Anolis sagrei: one gene and its partners. The main gene of each other region encodes a partner of the protein of the gene in region 3 in a complex. Links are inferred from orthologs where the notes say so. Each region holds a gene or a part of one and is shown on either strand. Other genes may lie near its edges.

Region 1 (7,683 bases), on a different chromosome or scaffold from region 3:
ACTTGCCTTCTAGGTCTCACTGACACCTGCTTTTAACCAAAAGTAAATAATCAAAACAGATGCCAGAGGAATTCTTTTGATGTGCTTCATTTGTTTCCCAATGATTCTTTTTTCTTTTTAAAGAGAATTATATAAAAATATTGAATAGCAATCTTTCAATCACCATTTCTACCTGTATAGATAGTTTAAGGAAGTGTTTTCTAGAACTAGCAAAATATGTTGTTTCTAAGTATTACAATACAGATTTTCCAAAAAGTATACAAGACTAAAGCAAGATCATGACTACAAAGCTTTAGAGAAAACAGCAGGCCACATGAACACCACCTTTTCTCTTTTAAATCTGGCACAAGACTGACACAGACACAACCTTCAGTTTAATTTATCTAAACTAATGGTTCTCAGCCTGTGGGTCCCCAGATGTTTTGGCCTTCAACTCCCAGAAATCCTAACAGCTAGTAAACTGGCTGGGATTTCTGGGAGTTGTAGGCCAAAGATCAGTAGATCATCTAGATCTACTGATCTAGATGACACATTACAGAAATACATGTCTCAATCAAATTGCTAGATGCAACCAGTCTAAGTCCAGTGAATCAACTGCTCAATAGTAAACCGACAGCTGGGAAGCCTGGTCTTCAAGCAAAATGCTAACTGGAGGTCAGCTGTTACCAACAGTGCTATGGATTTTGTGGAAAAATGAATGGGGGGTGGGGGCAAAAGGGAGAAATGTGCCAAGAGGAAGGTGTGCCAATAAAACTCTTGCTGGGACTGCCTTCCATCTGGACATTTGTTCCTATTATGAAATACCATGTGGACCCAACATAGGTCTCTACAGTAATTTGCGGACTGAAAGACTCTGCCCTTGGAAGACAATGATACAGCGAGAGCCTATTAATGATGAAGCCCAGTGAATCAACTACTCAATGGTAAATCAGTACTGGTCCAACTCTAATAGTTTTACAATAAGATTTCCAGCACATAAGGAAGCAAATTTTGGTTCTGAGGTTTCAACTACATGGATTCTTCACAGACAAACCAACTTCTTTGAGGTACAAAATGGCCACTAACTCGTTTCCTTCCTCTTCCTTCCTTGCATTGTTCATTAGTATTATTGTTCCATTACTAAGGCAAAATTAAATAGTTTCCTTTGTAAGTCATAAGGCAAGGCAATATACTTATTTTTTTATCATGACATGCAAACTAATTGTAATTTAATAAAATTATCAATGAATTCTTTTCTGACCAGAAGTCAACCACCTCTTTTACAAGGTGATCGGCTCCTGTAGAAGCTTTAGAGGTTTCGTTCCTCTTGCTCTGACCCCATCAGGCCCTGCTTCGCTCCCAAGAGACTTGCATTGCCCAAGCAGTGTCCCCTCCTTTTTCTTGATGAGCACTAAACCTGTCTTATTACCCAGAAGGCACCAGCCCTCCTCTGTGAGCAAAGCAGGGCCTGATGGGGTCAGACAAAGAGGAATCAAACTGACTGCTGGCCTAAAGGTCGGCAGTTCAAATCCGGGGAGCAGGGTGAGCTCTCGTCGATCGGTTCCAGCTTCTCATGCGGCGACACGAGAGAAGCCTCTCACATGATGGTAAAACATCTGGGCATCCTCTGGGTAACGTCCTTGCAGATGGCCAGTTCTCTCACACCAGAAGCAACTTGCCATTTCTCAAGTCACCCTGACCCAAAAAACAAACCAAATCATGAAAGGAGATACCACTTGAATGTTAGGAAGAACTTCCTGATTGTAAGATTTGTTCAACAGTGGAACTCTCTACCTCGAAGTGTGGTGAAAGCTCCTTCCTTGAAGGTTTTAAATAGAGGATGGCCATCTGTCGGGGGTGCTTTGATGTTGTTTTTAATGCTTCATTTTATATTGTTGTGTCGCTTATTATATTGGTTTTGCATTTTATGTATTTTATTTTCTGGTTTTGTTATGTTTTTGTGTTATATTGTGTGTACTGTACTGATGGGCGTGGCCTCATGTAAGCCACACCGAGTCCCCATGGGGGAGATGGAGCGAGGTATAAATAAAGTTGTTGTTGTTGTTGTTGTTATGGTGCTTTTCCTGCCAGGCAGGGGGTTTGACTGGATGGCCCTTGGGATCTCTTCCAACTCTATGATTCTATGAATGCCCTGACAGTGGCACTCCTTTTGGCCATCTGTCAGGGGTGCTTTGATGGTGCTTTCCTTGCCTGGCAGGGGGTTGGACTGGATGGCTCTTAGGATCTCTTCCAACTCTATGATTCTATGAATGCTCTGAAAGTGGCACTTTTCTGGCCAGCTGTCGGGGTTGCTTTGATGGTGCTTTTCCTGCCTGAAAGGCTGTTGGACTGGATGGCCCTTGGGGTCTCTTCTAACTTTATGATTCTATGAATGCCCTGAAAGTGGCACTTTTTTTGGCCATCTGTCAGGGGTGCTTTGATGGTGCTTTCCTTGCCTGGCAGGGGGTTGGACTGGATGGCCCTTGGGGTCTCTTCCAATATGATTCTATGAATGCCCTGAAAGTGGCACTCTTTTTGGCCATCTGTCGGGGTTGCTTTGATGGTGCTTTCCCTGCCTGGCAAGGGATTGGACTGGATGGCCTCTGGGATCTCTTCCAACTCTATGGTTCTATGAATGCCCTGAAAGTGGCACTCTTTTTGGCCACCTGTCGGGGTTGCTTTGATGGTGCTTTCCCTGCCTGGCAGGGGGTTGGACTGGATGGCCCTTGGGGTCCCTTCCAACTGTATTATTCCACCACCCCTGTGTGGCAGCCTTGAACCCACCCACAGGCCCCTTGAAGGCTGGCAAAGAGACGCGTGTCTTTCTTTCCTGGACCTGGAGGGCGGCACGAAGCCATGGCCAGAGGCAGCGGGGCCTCTTCTCTACCCGGGCCGCCCTCCCCGGCCCCTCTGGAGGACTCACCCCTCGGCTGGTGGAGGCGGCGTCGGTGCCAGCACAGCAGCGAGAGCAGCAAGAGCAGTGGCGCTGGCCAAAGATGGCTGCGAGGCCCCCGCCCCGCCCCAGCAGGGCGTCCTCGCTAATTGCCTGCGCCGAAAGTCAGGCGCCCGCCCTCACGACCCCGAGGCGCCTCTTTCGGTTGATTAGAGGAATGCTTTATAATTTGCTCAGCGTGGCAAAGGAAACACAGGCTTCCACGAACCCGCTTTGAAGGGCCTGCGTGGGGGGCCTTTCCGGAGCAGGCACTCTCCTTGCACAGCCCCTCTTCCCCTCAGCCGGCTTCCCCGAAAGGGACAGGACGGGGCGGCCCTCCTCCTCCTTTCCCCCCTCCCCTCCGCCAAAGCACCAGTCTCGCGCAGGACGGGCGTGAAGATGGCAGCGGAGGAGCCCCGCGCCAAGAAGCCCAAGCTGGAGCCGGCCCGGCTGAGGTAAGGGAGGGAGAAGGCTTCTCCCGGCCCCCGGCCCCTTCCTCCGCCGTTCAGTGGGAGGTTTGGCACCTCCAAGAGAAGCCCTTCCAGTAACGGTCCCCAAACTCTGGTCTGTCAGGGCTTTGGACTCCGTTTCCCAGAATCCCCGGCCATTGGCCCAAGCAGCGGAGGCTTCTGGGAATTGAAGTCCGAACGCCTGGAGCTCGGCGCTGCGGGATACCACCTGTTCTGCCTCGCGCTCCTGCAGAGTTGGAGCGGCCGCTATTGTGAAGGGCCCGGTTGCCCAGTAACCACTTGGGAAGGCGGGGATGCATTGTTCCTGCGGCCTGGGAGCCTGCCTGCATGCCTTTCTTCCTTTCTCAGCAGGGGGGCCGACATTTCGCCATTGGGGCATCTACAACAGTGGTCCCTATCCTTTGGCCCTCCCTTTGGTTTGGACTTCAACTCCCAGCGAGTTTGGAATTAGGAGAACTGAAATCCAAAACGCCTGGAGGACGAAAGTTGGGAACCACAGATCTAAACCATACTTTGAGTGCAGTTTGAGGACACTTTGGCCCCTTCCACACAGCTTAATTGGTATAGTACAATATAGCAATATTTAAAACTGATATTGTACTATGCTAATAATATAATATATTGTATGTATAAGGAGCTCCATTGGCTGCCGTTTACCTACCGAACCCAATTCAAGGTGCAGGTGCTTACCTACAAAGCCCTAAACGGTTTGGGACCTGCCTACCTCCGTGACCGCATCTCCGCTTATGTACCCACACGCTCCCTTCGGTCATCTGGAGAGGCCCTGCTTGCGATCCCACCTGCGTCGCAAGCGCGCTTGGTGGGGACGAGGGATAGGGCCTTTTCTGTGTTTGCCCCCCGACTTTGGAACGACCTCCCCAAAGACATTAGACTAGCACCCACGTTGGCAGTCTTTAGGAAGAACTTCCAGACCTGGCTATTCCGACGTGCCTTTCCAGAATAGGATAACCCAGCACTTTGTCCCAGAAGCACTTTACTAGAGTTTAAGACTCTCTGCACATTGCACTTGCCCAGAATTCCAATACACCTCCTGTCACACCCAGCACTTTTTAACCTGTACCCATCATTGGCCCGGCCATGGTTTTTATTGTGTAATAGTGTAATGTTTTGTTATTGCATATGTTTTTTAATTTGCTTTCTTTTGTATTGTTGTTGTTTACTGCTGTTGTGTTGAGGCCTTGGCGTTTGTAAGCCGCATCGAGTCCTTCGGGAGATGCTAGCGGGGTACAAATAAAGTTTAATTAATAATAATAATAATAATAATAATAATAAAATACCTTGTAAGCCGCTCTGAGTCCCCTTTGGGGTGAGAAGGGCAGCATATAAATGCCATAAATAAATAAATAAATAATACAATCCCACATTTTCTGCTTTGAACTGGAATATATAGCAGTGTGGACTGATTACTTAGGACCCTTCCACACAGTCCTATAACCACAGAAAATCCCACAATATCTGCTTTGAACTGGGTTATCTGAGTCCACATTGAGGGGGGCAGAGGACAGTTCCACCTTGTTGCCTGTACTATGGTATTATTATTATTATTATCATCTTTATTTGTACCCCACTAACATCTCCCAAAGGGCTCGGTGCGGCTTACAAAGGCCAAGGCCCTCAATAAAACAACAGCATCACAAATACAACAATAAAACTCGTAAAGCAAACCAATAAACGTTAAAGCAGTAACAGTAAAACATCAGAACAATACATCATGACACATTTAAAACTAGGGCCGGGCCAAATGTAATGAATACATTAAAAGTGCTGGACATGACTGGTGAAATGTAAGGATTTTAGGGTAGGTGCAATGTGCAGGCAATCTTAAATTTCTGGTAAAGTGCGTTTGGGACATGATGCTGGGAGTTTCCTATTCTGGAAAGGCACACTGGAACAGCCAGGTCTTCAAGCTCCTCCTAAAGACTGCCAACGTTGGGGCTTGTCTGATGTCCTTGGGGAGAGAGTTCAATAGTCGGGGGGCTACCACAGAGAAGGCCCTGTCCCTCGTCCCCACCAAACGCACTTGTGACGCAGGTGGGATCATGAGCAGGGCCTCTCCAGATGAACGGAGGGATCGTGTGGGTTCATATACGGAGATGCGGTCACGCAGGTAGGCGGGTCTCAAACCGTTTAGGACATATATTTACGTCTACTACTACTACTAATATTATAATTATACTAGGTGTGCCCTGCCACGCATTGCTGTGGCCTATAGTAAGAATTTTCGAAGTAGAGGTAGATATCTGGACTGTTATGAAAGAGCGGTACCTACCTATTCCTTCCCCCTTTTTTCTTCCCCTTTCCTTTCTTCCTCCTCTACCTCTTTTTTCATTCCTTCTTCCACTTTGGTTTCATCCTTCCTTCTCTCTTTCCTTCCTTCCTTCCCCCTTTCTCTACTTCTTCCTTTGTCTCCTTTCTTCCCTGTTTCCTTCCTTCTTTCACTTTTTATTTCCTTTTCTCCTTCCTTCTTTACCTCTTTCCTGCCTTTCCTCCCCTTTTTCTTTCCTTTCTACTTTGTATTGTTCCTTCCTTCGGTACCTCTTTTTTCCCTTCCTCCCCTCTTCCCTTCTCTCCTTCCTTCTTTCCCTCCCTCCTTCTCTCTTTCCTTCCTTCCCCCTTTCCCTCCTTCATTCATTCCCTTTTCCCCTCCCTCCTTTCTTCTCTCCTTCCTTCCTGTCTGTTCTTCTGCAATCCTATGGTAGAGTCCCTTCTAACTCTATTCTATGAGTCTATTTAATATAGTAATATTTTTAATTTAAAGGTATTTTTGTGGGTTTTTTTTTCAGTGATGGTCACTCCTTGGATTGTGAGGAGTTTTGTTGCCAAATTTGGGGTCATTTGGCCCAGTAGGTTTTTTGTTTTGTTTTTAAGGTACTCATTACGTACAGAGCATTTATATATATATAGATATATTTATATTATATGTAATATTACTACTACTAATAATATGGCTCCAGCCCAGCTTACTTGTCCGAACGTATCTCCCTCAACGTTCCGCCTCGTAGTTTAAGATCCACCGGGGAGGCCCTGCCCTCGGTCGCATCAGCCTCTCAAACACGTCTGGTGGGGACGAGGAAAAGGGCCTTCTCGGTGGTTCCCCCCCTTGTGGTATGACATGCAGTGTCAGTGCGGGGTATTGCTGAGAGAAACTGATAGAAACTGGTCCAATAGCATCTGGAAGGCTGCAGTAGTCTGTCTGGTCATTATGTGATACAGCCCATGGTTGCTCAGCCCATGGGCTGAGAATTGCGGTATATAAGCAAAGTAAATAAATAAATAAATAAATACTTGTATGCAAAAAAGTTTGTAAAAAGGCATTTTTAAAAAAAAATCAAAACAAATCTTTAAATTTATTTATTTATTTATTTATTTATTATTTGCATTTGTTAACCGCCACTCTCAGCCCGAAGGCGACTTTAAAATCTTCTTTATTGACACCAAAAAGCCTATTTAAAAATAATGAAGATATAGAATGAGACTAGGAAATGAAAAGCTTGTGAAGAGCAGATCATATTAGCTATCCTCAAAGGATCTCATCATGGAGCATGGATCCACTTTAAATCTAGTTGTTGCCTCCTACAGAATTCTGGGGCTTGTGGTTTAGGGGAAGGGCTTTTGAAATGCTCAGCCAGACAGGTCCTGGGCTTCACTAAACTACAAACCCCAGAATTCTGCAGGAGGCAGAAACCGGATCCATGCTGTAGTGTGGTGAGGCACTTTGTGTCTTTTGTTAGAGAGATGAAAGAATGAACGCCTGGCAGAACGGTGAACTTTGTGCATAGATTATTAATAGATTATTAATTCAGAAGATTTTGCAATTAGAGGAATCCAAATGGACAGCATCAGAGGTTTGTTCAGATGAGATTTAGTGCAGGATGAGGTATAATCCAATTCCTCTTTTTGTACTAAGTGCTGCATTAATGCACTCCCAAAATAAAATGAAAGTGTGTGTGTGTGTGTATAGGCAGCTGACAGTACTGATTTTTAAGCAAACTCCATGCATTTCATTGAAAGAAGGAAAAACATGCATAAGAGAGCCTGTTCATGTTGAGCTCCACCTAAAAGCATGGAAAGTGTATTTGATAGCACTTTCTTAACTTCAATTAAGTTTGTCTTTCAATTTCCATTTATGCCAATGACAATGACATAATCACAATCATACGTGTCATACATAATAATACACAATTTTACAACTTGACAATCACCTAACTTACCTAACACACTCACTACAAATACATTTAAAAGCAACTGCCCATGACGGCAGTGGACCTCCTACTCTTTTGT
Region 2 (7,316 bases), on a different chromosome or scaffold from region 3:
GCTGACCCATACACATTATATGCATAATAAATAGAAGAGCTGAAAATATAAACAGGTAAAAAGCAACAAATGTAAATAAACAACAAATAGAGCAGATTAATAAGTACATAGTCAGTTTAGTAAAAACGGACAAAGCAATACATATAAATATAGGCCACAAATACATAAAAAGTAAATAATAGCTATAAGAGACCCATAGTAATATAGATGGGAGGATATGTGTGTTTATGTGTATGTGTGTATGTATATATATGTGTGTGTGTATATATATATATATATATATATACCATATATACTTGAATATAAGCTGACCCGAATATAAGTCGAGGCACCTAATTTTACCACAAAAAACTGCAAAAACGTATTGACTTGAGTATAAGCTGAGAGTGAGAAATTTAGCTTGTACTGGTAATCATCAGTAGGTTAAATGTTTTTGAGTATTTACATACAACTGTAATTTAAGATAAGACTGCCCAAATCTGATTAAACCATTATTCTAACCTCCTTCAATGCAAATGTGCTTACCTATTACTAATAATGATAGAGTAGAATAATAAATGCAATAACATGAAATAAAAATAATAATAGAGTAAATAATAGAAATGTAATAATATTGGTAATAATAAAGTAATAAAAGCAATAATAACAATAATAGAGTAAAATAATAAAAGCAATAATAATAATAAATAGAATAAAATAATAAATGTAATAAAATAATAATAGAGGAAAATAATGTAAGTGTAATAATAATAATAGAGTAAAATAATAAATGTAATAAAAATAATACTAATAACAGAGTAAAATAATAAATAACCTTGACTCGAGTATAAGCCGAGGGGAACTATTTCAGCCTAAAAAAGGGGCTGAAAAAATAGGCTTATACTGGAGTATATACAGTGACTAAAAAAATAAAAATAAAAAGAGAAGCAAATACTAATAAGAAATCATAAATAAATCAATAACTAATATAACAAATATTAGCAATGAACAAATATAATATTAAATTGATCGACACAAATAAAAAGCAATGGATATAAATAATATAAACAAAGTGTTAATACTAAATAACAAATATAAATATAATGGACATTAATAAATAGCTTAAAAGATAATAAAGATAAATATAAATAGTGAATAAATAAAATAAAAAGCAATGGATACAAGGAATATAAATAAATTTCAAATAATAGATATTATAAATAATATAAACAATAAATTGTAAACATATAGATAAAAACAAAATATAATAAATATTAAGAAACAGTTACGAAATAAAGAAATAAGATAAAAAATCAATACTGTCGATACAAATATTATATTAATAAATTGCAAATAAATAAATAAATAATAACTTTTTTTTTGTTCCCCGCCTCCATCTCTCCAAAGGGACTCGGGGCGGCTTACAGATGGCAGAGTGTGCCTAAAACAATGCATAATAAACACACAATACAAGATAACCAATATTCCAAATAATAAACATTAATAGTGAACAAATATAATTATAGATAAATTAGTACGCAATACATATAAATAATATTAATAAATTACAATGAATAGATAACGAACATTATAAATAATATAAGAATCCTTAATCATTAATTATTAATAAATAGAGAATATAATGCAATATAAATAAATTATAAAGAATAAATGATGAGTATTCCAAACAATATATTAAACAGTAATAAAAATGCGTAGATAAAAAAGCAACTGATATCAATAATATAAATAAATAATAGTTAAGAAGTTTTATAAATAATATAAACGGTAATAGTGAACAAATATAATACGAATAATTACGGTATCTATATAAATAAAAATGTTATGTTTGTTTGTGGGATTAACAGAACTCAAAAACCACTGGACAAATTGACACCAAATTTGGACACAAGACACCTAACAACCCAATGTATGTCCTTCACTAAAAAAATTGATTTTGTCATTTGGGAGTTGTAGTTCCTGGGATTTATAGTTCACCTACAATCAAAGAGCATTCTGAACCCTACCAATGATGGAATTGAACCAAACTTGGCACACAGTTCTCCCATGACCAACAGAAAATACTGGAAGCGTTTGGTGGGCATTGACCTTGAGTTTTGGATTTGTAGTTCACCTACATCCAGAGATCACTGTGGACTCGAACAATGATGGATCTGGACCAAACTTGGCATGAATACTCAATATGTCCAAATGTGAACACTGATGGAGTTTGAGGAAAATAGAATCTTGACATTTGGGAGTTGTAGTTGCTGGGATTTATAGTTCACCTACAATCAAGGAGCATTCCGAACCCCACCAACAATAGAATTTGGCCATATCTCCCACACAGGACCCATATGTGGGCCACAGCAACGCGTGGCAGGGGATGGCTAGTAATAGATAAAAATACAAAACACTGCACATAAATGCATATAAATAACAAATAATTTGAAATAAACAATGTAGCAAAAATAAATAATATAACAATAGATGAAATTAGGAAGCAATGGATACAACAAATATAAATGGTAAAGAATTAGATTAGATTTATTCTAAATAATATAATAAACCATTAATACACAGTGAACAACTAGACTAATGGTAAAAGATAGATACAAAATCAAAAGGAATGGCTCCAAAGAATCTAAACGCATTGAGAAGGGGAAAGATGACACTCCAAGATGAGGCGGCGGGAGCTCACCTCGTCCTCCTTGTGGTTGCGGATGCCCCTCACGAGGTCCTGCAGGTTCTTGTCAAACATGCGGTCGATGCTGCCTTTGACCATCTTCAGAGCCATGGCGGCGGAAGGAGGAGGAGGAGAAGGAGAAGAAGGAGGAGAGGAAAGCCGCCGCTGGACTCGAGGCGGGTGGGGAAAGGCTGCTTCCAGCAACACCGGCGGCGAGAAGGCAGTCCTCGGCCTTAAAGGCGCGCTCCCATCCCGGGGCGGCGGCCGCCTCCAGTCCCTTCTTTCCTGCCCCTCCGGCGCCGCTTCTCTGAGGCAATTAAAATGGCAAAATGGCGAAGAGTCAGCTGAGAAGAGGAAACTCAAGCCGCGCCCCCTTTTTGCGCGACGGCGTCAGCACGCAAGAGCGCCGGCTGGAAGCCCCGCCCACTTCATACTAACTAGGATTAGCACGCAGGCGGCGACTGCTGGAAGCCCCGCCCTCTTTTAGCCTCACCAACGTCAGCACACAGGCCGCGCCCGAATGGAAGCTGAGAGCCACGCCCCCTTTTGATGCCGGCTGACGTCATCACGAAGGTGGTTCCTGGCTTTTCAATATTCACCGTCAGTACGCCACGCCCCCTTATATGCCCACCAATGACAGCATGGAGGCGGCGCCCTGTTGAAAGCCAAGCCCCCTTTTGTTGCCCATCAGCACGAAAACATACCAAGCCACCTTGTCTCTCTCCTGAGGAATCTGTACAACAGTGGTTCTCAACCTTCCTAATGCCATGACCCCTTAATACAGTCCTTCATGTTGTGGTGACCCCCAACCATAATATTGTTTTACTAGGTTCTTGTGGGTTTTTTCGGGCTATAGAGCCATGTTCTAGAGGCATTTCTCCTGACGTTTCGCCTGCATCTATGGCAAGCATCCTTAGAGGTTGTGAGGTCTGTTGGAAGTAGGAAAATGGGTTTATATATCTGTGGAATGGCTGGGGTGGGGCAAGGAGCTCTTCCCTGCTGCAGTTAGGTGTGAATGTTTAGCTGATCACCTTCATTAGCATTTGAAGGCCTGCTTGAGCCTGGGAAAATCTGTTGCTGGGAGGTGTTAATCTGTGCCTGGTTTTTTCCTCTCTGTTGTTTAGCTGTTATAATTTTAGAGTTTTTTAATACTGGTAGCCAGATTTTGTTCATTTTCATGGTCTCTTCCTTTCTGTTGAAATTGTCCACGTGCTTGTGGATTTCAATGGCTTCTCTGTGTAGCCTGACATGGTGGTTGTGAGAGTGGTCCAACATTTCTGTGTTCTCAAATAATATGCTGTGTCCAGGCTGGTTCATCAGGTGCTCTGCTATGGCTGACTTCTCTGGTTGAAGTAGTCTGCAGTGCCTTTCATGTTCCTTGATGCGTGTCTGGGCAATGCTGCGTTTGGTGATCCCTATGTAGACTTGTCCACAGCTGCATGGTATACGGTAGACTCCTGCAGAGGTAAGAGGATCCCTCTTGTCCTTTGCTGAACGTAGCATTTGTTGGATTTTCTTGGTGGGTTTGTAGATTGTTTGTATGTTGTGTTTCCTCATCAGCTTCCCTATGCGATCAGTGGTTCCCTTGATGTATGTTTAATATAATATTGTTTTCATTGCTACTTCATAACAGTCATTTTACTACTGTTATAAATCATAATGTAAATATCTGATATGCAGGATGCATTTTCATTTACTGGGCCAAACTGGGCACAAATACCCAATACACCCAAATGTGAATGCTAGTGGGGTTGGGGGAGGATTGATTTTGTAATCTGGGAGTTGTAGTTGCTGGGATTTATAGTTCATTACAATCAAAGAACATTCTGAACTCCACCAATGATAGAATTGGCTCAAACTTCCCACATGGAATCCCCATGACCATCAGAAAATACTGTTTTTCTTATAGTCTTTGGCGACCCCTCTGACAACCCTTCGCGACCCCCTCAGGGGTCCCGACTCCCAGGTTGAGAAACACTGCTGTACAAGGACCAAGTAGCAACAGTCAGAACTGACCACGGAACAACAGACTGGTTCAAGATTGGGAAAGGCGTACGGCAAGGCTGCATCCTCTCACCCAACCTTTTTAACGTGTATGCAGAACACATCATGCGATGTGCGGGGCTTGATGAATGCAAAGCTGGGGTGAAAATTGCTGGAAGAAACATTAACAACCTCAGATATGCAGATGACACCACTCTGATGGCCGAAAGCGAGGAGGAGCTGAGGAGCCTTCTAATCAAGGTGAAAGAAGAAAGCGCAAAAGCCGGGTTGCAGCTAAATGTCAAAAAAACCAAGATTATGGCAACAAGAATGATTGACAACTGGGAAATAGAGGGAGAAAATGTGGAGGCCATGACAGACTTTGTATTTCTAGGCGCTAATATTACTGCAGACGCAGATTGTGGCCAGGAAATCAGAAGACGCTTACTTTTTGGGAGGAGAGCAATGTCCAATCTCAATAAAATAGTGAAGAGTAGAGACATCAGACTGGCAACAAAGATCCGCCTAGTCAAAGCCATGGTATTCCCTGTAGTAACCTACGGATGTGAGAGCTGGACCTTAGGGAAGGCTGAGCGAAGGAAGATCGATGCTTTTGAACTGTGGTGCTGGAGGAAAGTGCTGAGAGTGCCTTGGACTGCGAGAAGATCCAACCAGTCCATCCTCCAGGAAATAAAGCCCGACTGCTCACTGGAGGGAAAGATACTAGAGACAAAGTTGAAGTACTTTGGCCACATCATGAGGAGATAGCAAAGCCTAGAGATGACAATTATGCTGGGGAAAGTGGAAGGCAAAAGGAAGAGGGGCCGACCTAGGGCAAGATGGATGGATGGCATCCTTGAAGTGACTGGACCGACCTTGAAGGAGCTGGGGGTGTTGACGGCCGACAGGGAGCTCTGTCGTGGGCTGGTCCATGAGGTCACGAAGAGTCGGAGACGACTGAACGAATGAACAACAACAACAAGCACAAAAACAGTACTTATTTATTTATCACTAGCTGGAGCCCCCGGTGGCACAGTGGGTTAAACCCCTGTGCCGGCAGGACTGAAGACCAACATGTCGCAGGTTCGAATCCGGGGAGAGGTGGATGAGCTCCCTCTATCAGCTCCAGCTCTTCATGCGGGGACATGAGAGAAGCCTCCCACAAGGATGATAAAAACATCAAATCATCCAGGCGTCCCCTGGGCAACATCCTTGCAGACGGCCAATTCTCTCACACCAGAAGCGACTTGCTCCTAACACGACCAAAAAAAAATCACTAGTTGTCCCCTGACACACGTTGCTGTGGCCCAGTCTGGTGATCTGGAAAATAAAGTAATGAGAAAGTGTTGGTTTCTAATAATAATAATAAAATAATAATAATAATAAAACTTCCCATCTCCCCAAGGGACTCGGAGCGGCTTACATGAGGCCAAGCCCAACCATACATCAATAAACAACAACAATAAACAAAGCAGAAAATACAATACAATTAATATAAATCACATATAAACAATAACCAATAAACAGTAACACACAAAATTTTAAAAACCTATGGCCGGACCAAATGTAATGGTTTAAAAATTAAAAAATAAACGCTGGGCATGAACAAGGTCAGATATAACTGGTATAGGGTTTTCAAAGAGAGATGAGGGAACGCAGTCAATCCTGACCAGTAGTAAAGTGCATTCTGAGGGCATATTGCTGAAAGTTTTATAATAATAATAATAATAATAATAATAATAACAACACTTTATTTGTACCCCGCTACCATCTCCCCAAGGGACTCGGTGCGGCTTATATGAGGGCAAGCCCGCAATACATCAATAAACAGAACACCAATAAAATAAAACATCAATAAACAATCAATGCAATATAAATCATAATCACATAAACAAAATAAACAATAAGCAGTCAACAGTAACATATAAACATTTAAAACCAATGGCCAGGCCAAATGTGATAGATTAAAATTAAAAAAATAGTGCTGATGTGAACCAGGTAGGATATAATTGGGATAGGATTTTTAGAGAGAATGAGGGAATGCAGTCAATCCTAAAGCAGTAGTAAAGTGCATTTTGAGGACATAATGCTGAGAGTTTTCCCTATTCTGGGAAGGCACACTGGAACAGCCACGTTTTCAGGCTCCTCCTAAAGACTGCCAGAGTTGGGGCATGCCTGATGTCCTTGGGAAGCGAGTTCCAGAGTCGGGGGGCCACCACCGAGAAGGTCCTCTCTCTCGTCCCCACCAATCGCGTCTGCGAAGGAGGTAGGAGTGTGAGCAGGGCCTTTCCAGATGATCGAAGAGATTGTGTGGGTTCGTACACAGAAATATGGTCACGCATTTGTAATTTCTTTATGCTTGTGGGAAAACAGTATTTCTTGTTGTTTCTTTGTCAGTGTTGATGTGGAGATTGTCAGGTTTGCCTACTCTGGAACATGCAACAGCCACGAGAGTATCGAGAATATCTCTCTCGATATTAGGAAGCTATTTCTTGATTTAAGTGGCTGGTGTGCTGGCTAATATCCAAACAGAGGATGGGCCGGAGATGTCACTGCCTTGGTCCTTTCATTACAGTCTGCTACTTTCTGACAGTTGTCAGGTGATGCAAAACCAGCTAAACAGTATAATTCCTACAGCAGTGTAGGGCGTAGACATCCTGTGATAGTG
Region 3 (7,773 bases):
CATGACATCAAAAAAATAACCTCCCCCTATAATATTAATAATAATAATAATAATAATAATAATTTTTATTTCTTACACGCCTCTCCCCATGGCTCAAGGAGGGTCACAACACAGGGCCGTTCCACACAGCCCTATATCCCAGAATATCAAGGCAGAAAATCCCAAAATATCTACTTTGAACTGGGTTATCTGAATCCACACTGCCATATAGTTCAGTTCAATGCAGATAGTGTGTGATTTTATTCAGCTGTGTGGAAGAGGCCTCCCAGGATTGCATAGCACTGTGCAAGGGCACTTAGATATGCTGTCAAACTGCATTACTTCTACATTGCGGATGGACCCTTTATTACAAATCATAGGATGCCTTGAAATGGAGCCAGATAATTATTACAAATCACAGGATTTGATGCGATGGAATTAAGGGCCTTCAAATCAATATAACTGTTTAGCACAAATACACCCTGAGCGACTTATTCTTCTCGTAAAGTAAAGGTAAGTCTAGTTGTGTCCGAATCTGGGAGGTGATGTTCATCTCCATTTCTAAGCCGAAGAGCTGGCATTGTCCAAAGACGCCTCCAAGGACATGTGGCCAGCATGACTGCATGGAGTGCCGTTACCTTCCTGAAAAAGTGCTGCCTGTTGATCTACTCACATTTGCATGTTTTCGAACTACAAGGTTGGCAGAATCTGGGGCTCACAGCAGGAGTTCACCCCACTCCCCGGATTTGAACCACAGATATTTTGTTCAGCAAGTTCAGCAGCTCCACAGTTTAACCCGCTGCAACACTGGAGGCTCCATATTCTTCTCGTGCAAGGTGTTCCCATACAAACCATGCCCTACGAGGAGCGGCTGAAGGAGCTGGGTATGTTTAATTTGGGGAAAAGAAGGCCAAGAGGGGACATGACAGCCATGTTTAAACATCTGAAAGACTGTCCATTGAGGGGGGGGGGGTGAGCTTATTTTCTGCTACCCTGGAGACTAAGGGCCCTTCCACACAGCTCAGAATATCAAGGCAGAAAATCCCACATTATCTGAGTGCGGACTAAGATAACTCAGTTCAAAGCAGATATTGTGGGATTTTTCTGGATATAGGAATGTGCAGAAGGGTCCTATGGGCCCTTCCACACAGCCCTCTACCCCAGAATATCAAGGCAGAGAATCCCACAATATCTGCTTTAACACTCAGATGATGTGGGATTTTCTGCCTTGATATTCTGGTTTATATGGCTGTGTGGAATGGCCCTTAGTTATCCGAGTCCACACTGCCATATATTACAGGGCCCTTCTACACTGCCCTATATTGGAGAATATCAAGACACTAAATCCCACAATATCTGCTTTGAATTGGGTTATCTAAGTCCACACTCAGATAATGTGGGATTTTCTGCCTTGATATTCTGGGTTATATGGCTGTGTGGAAGGGCCCTTAGTTACCTGAGTCCACAATGCCATATATTACAGGGCCCTTCTACATAGCCCTATATGGGAGAATATCAAGGAACTAAATCCCACAATATCTGCTTTGAATTGGGTTGTCTAACTCCACACTCAGATGTGGGATTTTTTGCCTTGGTATTCTGGGATATAGGGCTGTGTGGAAGGGCCCACAGTGCAGAGCAGATAATTTGGGATTTTATTCATTTGTGTGGAAGGGAGCGATGGGTTCAAATTGCAGGAAAGGGGATTCCACTTGAACATCAGGAACAACTTCCTGGCAGTGAGGCTACTTCCACACAGATTTATTTTATTTATTTATTTCACTTGTATACCGCTATTCTCAGCCATCAGGCAACTCAGAGCGGTTAACAACCAGTATCAACAACGCAGTACAAAATCATTAATCATTTAAAACAGTAATATCAATTAGCTAACATCAAAACATCAATACAACAATACAGCAAAACAACAATCCATCACGTCTCGTCAATAGAATCAGCACCCGATCTCGTTGTCCATTAATCCATATTCCAGTAATCAATCAATGGCACTGCTTAGTTAAAAGCCTGTTCAAAGAGCCAGGTCTTCACTCTCTTCCGGAATGCCAATAAGGAGGGGGCCGATCTAATGTCTGTAGGAAGGGTGTTCCACAGCCGGGGGGCCACTACTGAGAAGGCCCTGTCTCTCGTCCCCACCAGGCGTGCTTGTGAGGCCGGTGGGACCGAGAGCAGGGCCTCCCCAGACGATCTTAATGTCCTAACTGGTTCATAGGAGGAGATGTGTTCGGACAGATAGGTCGGGCCAGAACCATTTAGATAATGTGGGATGAATAAAATCCCACATTATCTGCAATGAACTGGACTATATGGCAATGTGGACTCGGATAACGCAGTTCAAAGGCGATATTGTGGGATTTTCTGCCTTGATATTCTGGGATATAGGGCTGGACTATATGGCAATGTGGACTCAGATAACGCAGTTCAAAGGCGATATTGTGGGATTTTCTGCCTTGATATTCTGGGATATAGGGCTGTGTGGAACAGAGAGCTGTTCAGCAGTGGAACTCTCTGCCTCGGAGTGTGGTGGAAGGATCCATGGAGGCTTTTAAGCAGAGGCTGGATGGCTATCTGTCGGGGCTTCTTTGATTGTGCTTTTCCTGCATGGCAGGGGGGTTGGACTGGATGGCCCGTGTGTTCCCTTCCCTCCCGCTTGGCCACTTACTTCTTCCCGTCGCTGCTGAAGAGCCCGAAGGCCGCCGGCAAAGAGGAGGAAGCGGTGGTGGGCGTCGCCTCTTGGCCCACCTCCGCCTGCGCATCCCCGGCCTGGTCGTTGTAGCCGACACTGTTAGCCGACATGTTCCCGTGAGAGTCGCTTCCCTTGCCGCTGCTTTCTCCCTGGGCCTCGCCTTCCCGCTGTTCCTTCCTTCCTTCCTTCCTTGCTTCCCTCACACAGACACAATCCGGCTCGTCCCGGAAGCTGACGGCAAGCAAGCAGCACTCCAATGTTGGTCACGTGCTCCTCGAAGGAGGGAGGGGGGGAGAAGTGGGAGGGGAAGAACGGCTGAATGGGATTTTCTCCAGCGCCGCCGTTGTCATGGGAACGCAAGGCCCTTCCCCCTCAATTTCCATAAGCTCCGCCCACTGTCACGAGGGGCTCCTCCTTTCCTCCTTAAGCGCCCAAAGGCAGTCACGAGCGCCAGGAAGGAAGGAAGGCGGTCCCGTTATCGCGCTCGCGCTCTTGTTGCCACGTAGGCAGAGCCCCCGACTCCAGGCCAGGCCTGGGCCAACTTGGGCCCTCCCTCCCTCCAGGTGTTTTGGACTTCCAACTTCCACCATTCCTAACAGCCTCAGGCAGGGCCGTAGCCAGAAAAAAAATTCGGGAGGGGTTGAAATTTGGGGGGGGGGGGTTTGAAAATTTCACGGGGGGGGGTGTTCAGAAGCGGCCCTAGGTAATTTTCAAAGTAAGCAAACAGTATTTTGGAGCCCCCCCCCCCCCCCTAACCAATCACTGATATATATTTTCTGTTCGTTGTGGGAGTTCTGTGTGCCATATTTGATTCAGTTCCATCAATGGTGGAGTTCAGAATGCTCTTTGATTTAGGTGAACTATACATCCCAGTAACTACAACTCGCTTATGTCAAGGTCTATTTTCCCCCAAGAGCGCCTCAAGAGCGCCCCTGGGCTAAATCAACTATACTGCAAATGCTTACTTTGCGTAATGGGTGAGCCGCCCCTGGGGGTGTTGAAACCTGCCTCCTAGCTCATGCTGAAGCAAAGAGCACAGCAGGGGGCAGAGCAACCTTCAATAGCCCGCAGCTCCGCCCCTGTCAACCACCTCCACCAAGTCTGGCCTCCTTAATGAGAGCATTCAACACCCCCCCCCCCCAACTTGGTTGCTTCACTACATCCACTATTGCTGCAGGTAATGACAGTGTGAATAAATTGTCAATATTTGCTTCAGATAGTGCTTACAGTTCTGGAGGGACTCTTAATTTTTTGCATCTCATAGACTTAGCATGGGGATTTGGTTAACCAGTCAAAATTCATGAGTAAACCAGGGTTTTTTTTAAAAAAAATCTGAAACATTTCAGGGGGGGTTTGAACACCTAAAACCACCCCCTCGCTACAGGCCTGGCCTCAGGCCCTTCCTTTTTCCTCCTCAGCCACTTAAACTGTCTCCCCAGAAGCATGGTTTTGGATTTCTAAGGCTGAGAAAGTGTGACTTGATCAAAGTAACTCGGTGAGTTTCCATAGACATTTAAACCCTGGTCTCCAGAGTCATAGGCTATAAGGCAGTGGTTTTCAACCTGGGGTCCCCAGATGTTTTTGGCCTACAACTCCCAGAAATCCCAGCCAGTTTACCAGCTGTTATGATTTCTGGCAGTTGAAGGCCAAAACATCTGGGGGCCCAGGTTGAGAACCACTGCTATAAGGATTTGGTGAAAAATCCAGAACCATGTTGCCAGGGGAAATACTCACTGTCTGGCTGTTGAAGATTTTGTATGTATACAATCTTCTATCTATATAAATAAAAATGTAATGTCCGTTTGTGGGATTAATAGAACTCAAAAACCACTGGATGAATTGACACCAAATTTGGACACAATGCACCTAATAACCCAATATATGTTCTTCACTCAAAAATTGATTTTGTCATTGTTGTTGTTCATTCGTTCAGTCGTCTCCGATTCTTCGTGACCTCATGGACCAATCCACGCCAGAGCTCCTTGTCGGCCGTCATCACCCCCAGCTCCTTCAAGGTCAGTCCAGTCACTTCAAGGATGCCATCCATCCATCTTGCCCTTGGTCGGCCCTTTTGCCTTCCACTTTCCCCAGCATAGGGAGTTGTAATTACTGGGATTTATAGTTCACCTACAATCAAAGAGCATTCTGAACTCCACCAATGATGGAACTGAACCAAACTTGGCACACAGAACTCCCTTGACCAACAGAAAATGCTGGGGAAAATGGAAAGAAAAAGGAAGAGGGGCCGACCAAGGACAAGATGGATGGATGGTATCCTTGGGTTTGGTGGGCATTGACCTTGAGGTTGGGAGTTGTAGTTCACCAACATCCAGAGAGCATTGTGGACTCAAACAATGATGAATCTGGACCAAACTTGGCATGAATATTCCATATGCCCAAATATGAACACAGATGGAGTTTGGAGGAAATAGACCTTGACATTTGGAATTTGTAGTTACTGGGATTTATAGTTCACTACAATTAAAGAGCATTTTGAAACCCACAAATGACAGAAATGGCGCAAACTTCCCACACAGAACCCCCATGACCAACAGAAAATACTTAAGGCCATCCAGTCCAACTCTCTTCTCCAGGGCAAGAAAATGTAATCAAAGTCCTCCTGACAAAGAGCCATCCAGCCATACAGATAAATAGATAGATAGATAGATCCAGAGAGCACTGTGGACTCAGATAGATAGAGAGAGAGAGAGAGAGAGAGAGATGTTATTCACACACACACAGAGATATAGTATCATAGATTTGAAAGGGACCCTTAAAGAAGGACAATGATATCTTGCATGTTCCAGGGTGGGCAAACCAGACACTCTCCACATCAACACTGACAAAGAAACAGCAAGAAATACTGTTTACCCACAAGCATAAAGAAATTGCATATATTAGAAACCAACACTTTCTCATTACTTTATTTTCCAGATCAACAGACGGCCACAGCAACGCATGGCAGGGGACAGCTAGTACTATATATATCTATATATAGTGTATGTACAAAGCTGGGTTGCAGCTAAACATAAAAAAAACCAATATGATGGCAAGAAGAATGATTGACAACTGGGAAATAGAGGGAGAAAACGTGGAGGCAGTGACAGACTTTGTATTTCTAGGTGCAAAGATTACTGCAGATGCAGACTGCAGCCGGGAAATCAGGAGACACTTCCTTCTTGGGAGGAGAGCAATGACAAATCTTGATAAAATTGTGAAGAGTAGAGACATCACACTGGCAACAAAGATCCACATGGTCAAAGCAATGGTATTCCCCATAGTCACCTACAGACGTGAGAGCTGGATCATAGGGAAGGCTGAGTGAATGAAGATAGATGCTTTTGAACTATGTTGGAGGAAAATTCTGAGAGTGCCTTGGACCGCGAGAAGGTCCAACCAGTCCTTACTTCAAGAAATAAAGCCTGACTGCTCATTGGAGGGCAGGATAATAGAGGCCAAGATGAAGTATTTTGGCAACATCATGAGAAGAAAGGAAAGCTTAGAGAAGACAATTATGCTGGGGGGAAAGGAAGGAAAAAGGAAGAGGGGCCGACCAAGTGCAAGATGGATGGATGGTATCCTTGAAGTGTCTGGATTGACCTTGAAGGAGCTGGGGGTGGTGAAGGCCGACAGGGAGCTCTGGCATGGGCTGGTCCATGAGGTCACAAAGTCAGAAACGACCGAACAACAACATATATCTATATATTTTTAAAAATGTAATGTTCGTTTGTGGGATTAACAACTCAAAAACCACTGCATTAATTGACACCAAATTTGGACACGACATCTATCAGGCCAACAAGTGACCATCACTCATAAAGACACTGAAAAACACAGCATAAGAGACCTTAAAAAACAAAAAACACATTACAACACATGCACAAAACCACATATATACATAAACACACATATACACAAACATATACACACACATATACACACACACAAAACATACACAGACTGGGCCACAGCAATGCGCGGCAGGGAATGGCTAGTATATACATGTGTGTGTTTGTGTATATATATATATATATACACACACATGCATACACTATATATTTTATGTATACAAAATATACTACGTATTTTGATTATATAACCTCTGGTGGCACAGTGGGTTAAACTGCTGACCTGCTGAACTTGCTGATCGAAATGTCGCTGATTCGAATCCAGGGAGTGGGGTGAGCTCCCGCTGTTAGCCCCAGCTTCTGCCAACCTAGCAGTTCAAAAACATGCAAATATGAGTAGATCTATAGGTACCGCTCCGGCGGGTAACAGCACTCCATGCAGTCATGCTGGCCACATGACCTAGGAGGTGTCTACGGATAACGCCGGCTCTTCGGCTTAGAAATGGAGGTGAGCACCAACCCCCAGAGTCAGACACGACTGGACTTAATGTCAGGGGGAAACCTTTACCTTTAAGCTATCATCAAAATATCTCTCCCTTATGCATTGCCCTGCATAAGGGAGAGATATTGTGGGTTGAAGGGAAGACTCGTTTATTGGGCATTGTCTTTCTTCATCCATGCAGGGGGGGCTGTGTGGAGGCCTCTTCCACACAGCTGAATAAAATCCCACATTATCTGAGGCTTCTCTCATGTCCCCGCATGAGGATCTGGAGCTGATAGAGGGAGCTCATCCATGCTCTCCCCGAATTCGAACCTCCGACCTGTTGGTCTTCAGTCCTGCCAACACAGGGGTTTAACCCACTGCGCTACCAGGGGCTCCTAGAGCTCAGGTTGCACTGTATTAGGTGCTCTGTGCTCTTCTCCACACTCGCATGACGTTTACTCCACTTTGTAGCCCCAACTCTGGGGGCTGGTGCTCATCTCCATTTCTAAGCCAAAGAGCCGGCGTTGTCCATAGACACCTCCAAGGTCATGTGGCTGGCATGACTGCATAGAGCATCATTACCTTCCTGCCAGAGTGGTACCCATTGTTCTACTCAGATTTGCATGTTTTTGAACTTCGAGGTTGGCAGAAGCTGGGGCTGACAGTGGAAGCTCACCCCGCTCCCTGGATTCGAATCGCCAGGGAGCCAGCAGCTCAGCAGTTTAACCCACTGCGCCACCAGGAGCTCATATATCCCA

What was found. The genes of interacting proteins can lie anywhere in the genome.
Region 1: the proteins of AP3B1 (region 3) and AP3M1 are in contact, whole or in part, in a cryo-EM structure (PDB 9C5A), measured with the Homo sapiens proteins. The link is inferred for Anolis sagrei from reciprocal best matches to the Homo sapiens genes AP3B1 and AP3M1. Residues at the interface, in NP_003655.3 of Homo sapiens: Leu60, Lys64, Val67, Gly68, Ile70, Ala71, Lys72, Gly73, Ile92, Glu93, Lys96, Leu97, Val100, Arg104, Glu107, Asn128, Gln129, Leu130, Arg137, Arg143, Ser163, Pro164, Tyr165, Lys168, Asn169, His172, Gln175, Lys176, Leu202, Ser206; in NP_001307192.1 of Homo sapiens: Met1, Phe15, Leu16, Glu17, Trp20, Lys21, Ser22, Val23, Gln26, Val42, Glu43, Asn44, Val45, Pro46, Pro47, Val48, Ser50, Tyr55, Ser58, Ile59, Tyr60, Gln71, Thr72, Glu73, Val74, Pro75, Pro76, Leu77, Phe78, Ile80.
Region 2: the proteins of AP3B1 (region 3) and AP3D1 are in contact, whole or in part, in a cryo-EM structure (PDB 9C5C), measured with the Homo sapiens proteins. The link is inferred for Anolis sagrei from reciprocal best matches to the Homo sapiens genes AP3B1 and AP3D1. Residues at the interface, in NP_003655.3 of Homo sapiens: Asn75, Lys466, Lys467, Gln470, Val494, Ala497, Ser498, Trp501, Leu531, Leu534, Gln535, Asn538, Lys542, Asn567, Tyr568, Asp569, Asp572, Arg573, Arg575, Phe576, Ile577, Gln579, Leu580, Lys586, Gly588, Ala589, Leu590, Ser591, Tyr593, Lys596; in NP_003929.4 of Homo sapiens: Lys352, Leu442, Ile446, Ser471, Tyr483, Trp487, Glu491, His517, Ala520, Val521, Gln524, Asn525, Lys528, Val561, Gln562, Ser563, Ala564, Leu566, Glu567, Gln569, Glu570, Arg571, Ser573, Cys574, Gln577, Leu578, His581, Ile582, Leu585, Lys588.

What each region holds. Positions count from the first base shown.
Region 1 is NC_090023.1:148,570,357-148,578,039, forward strand, and holds the start of AP3M1 (AP-3 complex subunit mu-1), read right to left. Parts: upstream 3,012-7,683; 5' UTR 2,903-3,011; intron 1-2,902. UniProt on the Homo sapiens protein: Part of the AP-3 complex, an adaptor-related complex which is not clathrin-associated. The complex is associated with the Golgi region as well as more peripheral structures.
Region 2 is NC_090034.1:51,490,165-51,497,480, forward strand, and holds the start of AP3D1 (AP-3 complex subunit delta-1), read right to left. Parts: upstream 3,012-7,316; 5' UTR 2,777-3,011; coding exon 2,681-2,776; intron 1-2,680. UniProt on the Homo sapiens protein: Part of the AP-3 complex, an adaptor-related complex which is not clathrin-associated. The complex is associated with the Golgi region as well as more peripheral structures.
Region 3 is NC_090022.1:265,418,416-265,426,188, forward strand, and holds the start of AP3B1 (AP-3 complex subunit beta-1), read right to left. Parts: upstream 3,010-7,773; 5' UTR 2,794-3,009; coding exon 2,660-2,793; intron 1-2,659. UniProt on the Homo sapiens protein: Subunit of non-clathrin- and clathrin-associated adaptor protein complex 3 (AP-3) that plays a role in protein sorting in the late-Golgi/trans-Golgi network (TGN) and/or endosomes.